Linked DNA regions of Arabidopsis thaliana. The protein of the gene in region 1 interacts with the protein of each later gene in a pairwise test. Each region holds a gene or a part of one and is shown on either strand. Other genes may lie near its edges.

Region 1 (4,982 bases):
TAATTATTTTTAAGAATTTTCACTTCTTTCTAATTTTTTATTAACCTTTCTTTTTTCTCCCATTGAAGGTTTAAAAAAAAAAAGTATCCGAATATTGAGTTTATCGTTGCTGCTCACAGCTTGTATATTTGGCTAATAATAAAGATAAAAGCGTTTATGCGGTTCTCACTATTAACACTGACCTCATACCATTTAGATGTTGAAGAGTAAGTTCTTTAATACACTTATCAATTATTATTATTTTAAAGGTTTTTCTCATGTAGACATAACATTAATTTTTACTACCACTTTAAACTTTTGTGTGATCACAAATTATTTTCGCCAGTAAAGACTTTGAATTGCTTGAACTCGAAATGATAGACTTATTGAAGCGGTTTCATAGTAGCAAGAAAAATAAAGACAACGAAAAAGAAACTAAAGAAGAAGCAAAATCTTACGATTTTTCAGAATTCACAGACGATAATTTTCTGGAGATGTGCATTCTTTGCGATTGTGACTATTTTAAATGGCCATTAACGGAGGGATCCGAAAGAGCATATGAAATAATTGGTACTAAAACTATACGTGGTAGAGAGGTACTTTTTACTTGGTTTAGTTCAAAATAGTAGTATACTATACATTTAGATTTTGTATTTGCATGTATGATGACATGATGTGTGTTATTCATTTTCTTTCAGGTAATAGAGGAACTACTAGAGGACAGCACTGACCTAACTTCTCATCTGAAAAAATTCATAATTTTGTTGCTTTTCAAATATTAGTATGTCTATAATCAAGTAATTGAAGAGCTTCAACACTTGAATGTGCCTGAGGTGTCTAACCTTCCATTCTTGCGTGACCGTGAGTCTGGCGATGAATTTGTCATTCGAAAGTATGAAGATTCTACGGGCACATATTTGTCAACAACTAAGACTAAGGAAATAGCATAAGGAAGACTTAATCCTGAAACCCACGAAAAATTTACACACGTGGAAGTGGAAGAAACAGATGACGAAGAAACTACTTAGACAAAAGTATCTAATAATTTGAATTTCGAAGTTCTAGTTCAAAATAAAGGAAGTCTAATTTCGACAAAAAATCTCACATCTATACCATATTTTACGGTTTTAGTTTTTTTTAGTCGTTAGCAACAATGACAATCAGTTATATTTTGTTAACTTTATAATCGTTAGCGATGACTATCGACAATGAAATCATGTTTATTTGGTAGTCGTTGGGTCGGGAACATTTAACAAATGATTTTGATTCAATTTTTTTTTTTTCTTATAAACCTTATCGGCTGATCTGGTTAGCCCTAGTAAAAACACACCGAAATGTTTTCGAGTGGACTTCTTCCCGAAAAACCACCATACTGTCTGTCTGTCACGAGTTTGAAATGCTTTCTGACTAATGCCAGGGGGTAGTCAGGCGGCCGCCTACATTTCTAATTACCAAGTAAACCAATTAAACCAAGACCCAACTTATACACTTACCAACTTTCAAGGAGAATCGAACTCGGGTCTAAGAGTTTCATCCTTCCCAAAGCTTCCCCTACCACTAAACCACATATACTTGGCCTAGGTTGAAAACTTTCAGTGATACAATTTTTTACTTGCTAATCGTTCAAAAATATTGACCATAAATTGTCGATGAACCAATGGCTAACACTATTTAGTTGGTTGGTCGCAATCGCATAGCATGTCCCTGACACAAAAAAAGCAAACAAAAAAAGAACTACTTGGATCAAACAAAGAAACCCATGCTTGGGCTCAGACTGAAAACAAAGTAATTGGGCCAAACCCATTTAGTATTAACCGACTAATCAAGTCCAACAATGTACAGCATGAAATAAACGCTACCCATTAACCGACTCAAATCGCACCAAGTCAGGCCCAATTAATCCTACACAGGCCCATTTAGAAGAAAGTTAACTTCCTCCTTAAGAAGAGAGAAGGGCTAAAAATCAAGCTTTCACGAGTACGGAAATTTACAGTATCTCCTCCATCTTTTTTTACTTTCCTCAGAGCTCTCTCCTCTCCGCAACTTCCACCACCACCAAATCGGAACTCTCGGCGTTCTACTCCGTCTCCGGCGTTACCTCCGTCGATTTCATCTTCTCAGGTTACTTAGGGTTACCTCTTTTTTGCTTTTTGATCGATAAAGTGTGATGATGTCTAGCGTTAACTCTTTTCGTCTTCGTAGTCGTAGTCTTAGGGTTTTGGTGGCGACGATACTTTGATTTATCAAACCGAACTTCTTCTTTGTGATCTTCGATGAATCAAAAGTTTTCTAAGGGATATTAATTAGGTTTTGTTACCGGCGATAATTAATCCATCTTCGATGCTTCTTCTTTACACTTCTGACTTTGTTTCTGATGTTTTAACCTCTGTGGAGAGCTTGATAGAGTGACATTGCTCTGACTAAGCGTTTTAGTTCAACGCATGGTTGATTCTCTTTTTACTAAGTAATGAATTTTGAGATCCTTGTTTGATTGCAGTTGGAAGGAGTGAATTGAGAAGGTCGGGCCAATATGGCGAACTTACAAGTTTCTGGGATACTCGAAAAGGTCTTTTCATCATCTGTTTCTAATTAAGCTTAATTTTGTTTTTGAGTATAGTCACCTTTTCTCATTGCTGTATTTACTATAGTTTCAGATGACGGGTAAAGATAAAGATTACAGATACATGGCAACCTCTGATTTGCTTAATGAGTTGAATAAGGATTCCTTTAAAATCGACCTGGACTTGGAGGTGAGATTGTCGAGTATCATATTGCAACAGCTCGATGATGTGGCTGGTGATGTTTCTGGATTGGCTGTTAAATGGTTAGCTTTCTGCTCTTAGCAACTTATGACCTAAGCTGATGTTATACTTTTACATTTAGCTGATCTATCGTCGACCTTTGATGTTATGATTTTGTTCCAGTCTTGCTCCATTGGTGAAGAAGGTTGGAGAAGAACGAATTGTTGAAATGACCAACAAGTTATGTGATAAACTGCTGCATGGGAAAGACCAGCATCGTGATACCGCAAGCATAGCTCTCAGGACTGTTGTCGCTCAAATTGCTCCTACGCTTGCTCCATCTATTCTTGTTACTCTAACACCACAAATGATAGGAGGAATAAGTGGCCAGGTTAGTTGTTGGGAGGTCTATTCCTTATTATTTCGATTGCATATGCGACAGTGCTTAGGGTCGTCCTAGACAATTTCGGATCCCATCAAAATCATATTGATTGACATCTATTGGAAAATTAGTTGATTTTACGTTTTAAGTTTTATTGGATCTAATACAGTTAAAGAACTCTGTCTGAAAAACTCTTAGTAGACCAGAGCACAGTATATGCATATAATTATTTGTCTACTCTAAGGTTCTATCATCTTATTTTACAAGTAACTAATTTTCTGCGTATTTACTGCTGAAGGGAATGAGCTCAGGGATCAAGTGTGAATGTCTTGAGATCATGTGTGATGTTGTTCAAAAATATGGAAGTTTAATGACGGATGATCACGAGAAGCTATTGAATACATTGTTATTGCAATTGGGCTGTAACCAAGCCACAGTCAGGAAGAAGACTGTTACATGCATTGGTAAGTTCATAAAATTGAGTCAATATGATTGCTGGGTACTGTCGGTACTAATGTCAATATTTAGCTAATTTGAAACCAACTTTAATCTGCCGAGACTTGAGTGGTAGCTTTCCTTATCTATATTAGAAATATGGTTTTCAGCTGTTTGCGTCAATTCTTGTGAAACCGATGCTAGTTCAAATGATATATTCAATGTCATTTTTTTCCTAGTCGTATATAGAACTCTTAATTCGATGGTATATAGCCTCTTCTAAGTTCAAAATTTTGTGTGGTGTCAGCTTCTCTTGCTTCCAGTCTGTCTGATGATTTGCTCGCGAAGGCGACTGTTGAAGTTGTGAAAAATCTAAGTAACAGGAATGCAAAATCGGAGATTACACGTACCAATATTCAAATGATTGGAGCTTTATGGTACTTCCTATCTTCCTTCTTATCGGCTTGTTATATATCTTTAACTTCTTACCATACGTTACTGTAGTGTTGTAGTATGCTTCGGTTAGTTGTACTTGTGCTACCTATTTATTGATTGGGATGAATGGTTATCTACGACTAGGCTTGCCATGGTTGTAATGCTATTTAATGCGTTTTTGTTTCAGCCGTGCTGTTGGTTACCGGTTTGGCACTCATCTAGGTAACACTGTGCCAGTATTAATCAATTACTGCACTAGCGCTTCAGAAAATGACGAGGAGCTTCGCGAGTATAGCTTACAGGTATCGTGCAAGATTCCCTAATGTTCCTACTTTCTCACTACGCTTGCATTTTTTGTTTTCTCATCTAATTTTTGTAATCAGACAATTACTTAGGCGTGCTTGTAGTCTCTTTTCTTTCCTATGCTATTAAATTGGAATTCTAATCTTAGGTTCAATAAAATTGGTATGAACAATGTAGACGATAACATGTCTGTTCTGAAATTTGACTGCAGGCACTTGAAAGTTTCTTGCTACGATGTCCCAGGGACATCTCACCATATTGTGATGAAATTTTAAATCTTACTTTAGAATATATTAGTTATGACCCGAATTTTACGGACAATATGGAGGAAGATACTGATAATGAGACTCTTGAAGATGAAGAAGATGAGTAAGTTCTGATTTATTCATTGGAACAGTAGCCTAGCTCCTTACGGTGCACCATTATCTCACTGAAATAAGTCTTTCTTTCTCACAGCGAGAGTGCAAATGAGTACACAGATGATGAAGATGCCAGCTGGAAAGTTAGGAGAGCAGCGGCCAAATGCCTAGCAGGATTAATCGTTTCGCGTTCTGAGATGCTCACTAAAGTATATCAAGAGGTATATCTTTTTTAAATGATCAAGCGTATTATCTTTCATGACGGGAGTGTACAAGATTCCCTTACACAAGAGTTTTTCATTCTTTTACCTGTGTTTGATTAAATATGAAACAAGAATCTACTATAGA
Region 2 (4,125 bases), 9.9 Mb from region 1:
GCAGCAGATGGTAACTTCCCTAAAAGTCTACCACACATATCCATAGCAACCTCATCACCAACTTTAGAACCAACAATGGGATCTCCATCAATCTCAAGTCCAAGTACTAAAGCAACTTCGTCTAAGGTTATAGTCATTTCTCCTAAAGGAAGATGAAAAGTATTGGTTTCTCTTCTCCATCGCTCAACAAGTGCAGAGATCAGTGAATTGTTTAAACTCATTGGACCGATTTTGCGAAAGTAACCGAAACCAGCTTTGTCCACGAGGTTAATTTGTTCATCAGTGAGTTTCCATTGATGTAGCAATGAAGTGTGTTCTTGACAACGAAGTAGACCTCGTTCCTAAGGTAAGTAAGGGGAAATAAGATTAACCCTAAATTCAAAATCTGAAATTTAGCAAGGGAATTAAGAAAAAAACCTGTCCTTCCCAAACAGCAGAAGAAACATGGAGGTCTTGCTCGTATAGGACAGATGGATCAACTGGTCCGACATCAATATCCATGTCGATAACTTACTCAAAATCAGCGAAAACTAAGATTACATAAACAAATTTTTGTCAAATTCTCAAAACACGAAACTTTTGATTCTTCAATTTGGGACTAAACACAGATGAAGAAGAAGAAGAAGTTGGGATTGGAAGCTAACCGTAACCTAATTTGGACTCGGTTCATAATTTTTCTTCTTGGCTTTTTATAGCTGTACCGGTTATTTTGGTTTGGTTCTCTTAAACCGACTCTGTTTTTCGTGGTTTTACTCTGTTTCCGGGTTTCTCTGTTTCTTTTATGTCTGTAATGGCATCACATTCTTCTCTAATGGAAGTTAATACAAACAACTGAACAAGATAACATTGGAAGATACATAAACTGTCGAAGCAGCGTCAATCTACCATACTTACACCGAGCTATAACAAAACTCTTTCAACATAAGATAAAATGGGGGTGACCCTTTTTGGATACTTAGATTTGATGTAATTATATACACACACATTAAAATTGACATCTATGCCTCCTAATCAAGATCAAACAAATCTTTACCTTTTTACTAGGAATGAGCAACAAAATAGAACAAAACAGAAATATACATGTTCTAGAGAACTTTCATGTTCTTGAATGCTCTATCAATCTCCCGGAAATAGCAGTCGCAAGAGCTGCAGTGAACTTAGGATCTTTGGTCAACGAAGAAGCCATTTGTTGCACCAAAACCTCTTGAATCGTCCCTCTCTCTTTCTTTTCCTCAACTGGTTCAAGCCCACCTTGAACTAGATCAAGTTTCACTGTCCTGGACACACTTGCATGTGGTCCGGTGTGGTTATGTGTCCCTTCGTAAGTGGCTACCAAGAAAGATGGATCTTCTGCACTTCGTTGCACCTAAACAAGCGCACACACAACTAGGGAATTTAATCAGACAGCAAGATGATATCGAAGAACTCTTTAACAAAGTTTAAACCAAAGTACCTTCTTCTTGACTAGACAAGACGGTGAAAACGAGCATCTGAAGTAAGCTCTAGGAGATGGATTATCTCTCGTAATCTTTTGCCCGTATTTCCTCCATTGATATCCATCTTTCACAGTCTACAAGTAACGTATATCCACAAAACATTCGTTAACAAATCAATACACTCAAAGAACGATACTTGTAGTAGAAATCTCCTTACCAAGCTTGTGTCAGACTTCTCAGCAGCAAAGTAAGCGGTTGAAACCGTCGCTTTATCGTTGGTGATGTTCTCGATTGGTCCGAGACTGAGTCCAATTGGGGAGCTAACAAACTCATCAAGTTCTTGTTTTCGTTTCCCCGTTAGCTGTTTGTTCTGAAAGTTAACACTTTCAGGACTCTTTCGACTCTGCAACTCCTCCATAAGATTATTAAGAGCATAGTACTTCTCACAGACTCTTGCTAACATTTCGGTTAGCTTCTTGTTCTCCGAATTAACCCGGTTTATTTCATCTTGTAGCATATTTCTCTTCTGTGTAAAATGAAAATCACCATTACCAAACTAAGCTGTAAGACAAAGCTTTGATTTGTTCAACTTTTGAGCATCACCGATCTAAACAAACTATTCAATGTCTAAATCAGATATGAGAACTTGATCAACCTAATCCATTCACTCATAGTCAAAAATTTTGAGGTCAAAGTATTGCACACCAAAGTGTTCGATGAAAGAACTAACCTCATCTTTCACTAACCATTTCTTCTCTACAACTTTAGAAGCTGAAGCCGAGACTTCTCTTTTCTAAATCAGGCAATAAAATATATATGAACACCACGAATAATCACCACAACCTCGAAAATTGAAGTGAAATTTTCGAAGAAATTGAAAAACTCACCGGAAGTTTACCGGAGAAATGAAGGTCGAACGGATTGGTGTTGGGATCATAGTCCATAAATTTAGGTTCACAGGAGCCAATTTAATGTAACGTGAGATTATAGCGAAGACCAAATTCATAATTGCTAAGAGATTTGGTCTCCTTTGGTTTTATAGTAACTAGTAAGTGGAGAGAGTGTAATAACTTGTCAATTATGAGAAGGTTGACGATTTGGGTGGAAAATGAGGGTCTCCTTTCTAATTCTAAAAAAATTATTATAAATCTTTTACAATTCTTGTAAATTCTCATAAACTTTCTTTAAAACCTTTAAAAGTTTTTAAAACTCTTTGTAAAATCGTTTTAAAACTTTTATTAAATCTTTTAAAAACTTTTGTAAAATTTTTATAAAATCTTTTGTAAATCATTTTAAAAACATTTATAAAATCCTTGTGTGTAATTCTAATTGTGCCAAAATTATAATGTGTATTATGCATATGATAGTGATTGAACATAGAAACAAAAATATTGGAAAAAAACAATACTAATGAAATGTGTAAACAAAAATTGCAAGAAAACTATTTAATTTAATACGTATTGACAAAAAGCAAGTTGTGTTTAATACGTTGGATTAAATTTGTTGGCTTGCATCGTAAATACTAAATGCGTGTCCTAAAAAATTAAAAAGGTTAGGTGTTAAATCGTAGTCGAATTGTTATGTTTTGTTGTAATCGGAGAAAACAAGTGTAAAGATGGATCAAAAATCAACAATTTCGGCGGATGTCCCATGTCGAAGAAAAATGAGTACTTTACATTAAGTTGCATTGTAAGATCCAGACCAACTTTCGCTTGACTTGACCCATTGACTATGCCCTGGAGGTTGGCATGTTTAATTTTGTCTCATATTTTTGTTTACTTAATCCTACCTACATTTAGTTGCATTAGTTAATTATGTCAGCTAGGCAAAATAAGATTTCGTTTCCCTTTTTTTTATGTTCATTAAGTTTGAAAGAAAATCATTATTTTTTGTTTTGTCATCTTTTTTATTAATATTATAAAATAAAAATATATTTTCCGATCTTACAAAACCGGCAGAAAACAAAGATATCTTCGAAAACATAGTTTAAAAGAGATAATCAAAGCTCCAAAAGAAAGAGAAAACACGTATTAAGATATAAACTATGGAAACAGAGGCTTAAGAAGAAAAGCTCATAAACACTAAACTGTATAAAATCAAGAACTCATTAAACAAAGAAAAAATGTTGTAAATAAACTAGTTGCAGGATTAGAATTTTCATACTATAAGCCAACAATCTCAAAACTTGAGTTGATAAATTTAGACACAACCATTATTCGAATTGTCAAGTTGGTTAGGGATGTGAGGAAAGGAACAGAAATTTGAATCCTATTCTTGAAACAGCAGCAAACCAATTTCGGGCTCTATAATAAAGTCATACTATGAATATTACAAGAACTTGCTATTTTTGGAAATATAGAGAGCTTTGGGTCCATACTCGATTTCCCAGAATTTGACACAAAATTTCAAAATATAAATAAAAATACAAGTTGGGGTGTCAAAACTTCTAACTCGGATTAACGAGTCTTGTGTGGTTTAGAGACTTTCTTCTTTCGCTTCTTGACAGATTTGGGTGTCTTCGTCTTCCTAGACTCTCGTTTCTCCTCTTTCACTTTCTTCTTGTGCTCTTTCCTTGCAGCTTTCTTGTCTTCATGACCCAATTCTTCTTCACTCTCTTCTTCCTCACTTCCTTCTTCACTTTCTCCGTCTTCTTCTTCCTCTCCTTCCTCTTCTTTCTCTTCATCATTCA

What was found.
Region 2: the proteins of CAND1 (region 1) and WRKY60 interact in binary tests that used the Arabidopsis thaliana proteins (3 or more experiments, as listed by UniProt).

Annotation. Positions count from the first base shown.
Region 1 is NC_003071.7:687,836-692,817, forward strand, and holds the start of CAND1 (cullin-associated and neddylation dissociated), read left to right. Parts: upstream 1-1,948; 5' UTR 1,949-2,100; intron 2,101-2,476; 5' UTR 2,477-2,509; coding exon 2,510-2,545; intron 2,546-2,627; coding exon 2,628-2,803; intron 2,804-2,903; coding exon 2,904-3,111; intron 3,112-3,400; coding exon 3,401-3,566; intron 3,567-3,844; coding exon 3,845-3,974; intron 3,975-4,159; coding exon 4,160-4,274; intron 4,275-4,486; coding exon 4,487-4,644; intron 4,645-4,731; coding exon 4,732-4,855; intron 4,856-4,982. Other genes in the region: AT2G02550 (PIN domain-like family protein), read left to right, coding at 762-929. UniProt on the Arabidopsis thaliana protein: Key assembly factor of SCF (SKP1-CUL1-F-box protein) E3 ubiquitin ligase complexes that promotes the exchange of the substrate-recognition F-box subunit in SCF complexes, thereby playing a key role in the cellular repertoire of SCF complexes.
Region 2 is NC_003071.7:10,628,067-10,632,191, reverse strand, and holds WRKY60 (WRKY DNA-binding protein 60), read right to left. Parts: upstream 2,531-4,125; 5' UTR 2,381-2,530; coding exon 2,324-2,380; exon of another isoform or gene 2,230-2,323; coding exon 2,167-2,229; exon of another isoform or gene 1,963-2,166; coding exon 1,654-1,962; intron 1,571-1,653; coding exon 1,454-1,570; intron 1,367-1,453; coding exon 1,097-1,366; 3' UTR 779-1,096; downstream 1-778. Other genes in the region: AT2G25010 (Aminotransferase-like, plant mobile domain family protein), read right to left, coding at 1-341, 418-501; AT2G24990 (Serine/threonine-protein kinase Rio1), read right to left, coding at 3,893-4,125. UniProt on the Arabidopsis thaliana protein: Transcription factor. Interacts specifically with the W box (5'-(T)TGAC[CT]-3'), a frequently occurring elicitor-responsive cis-acting element.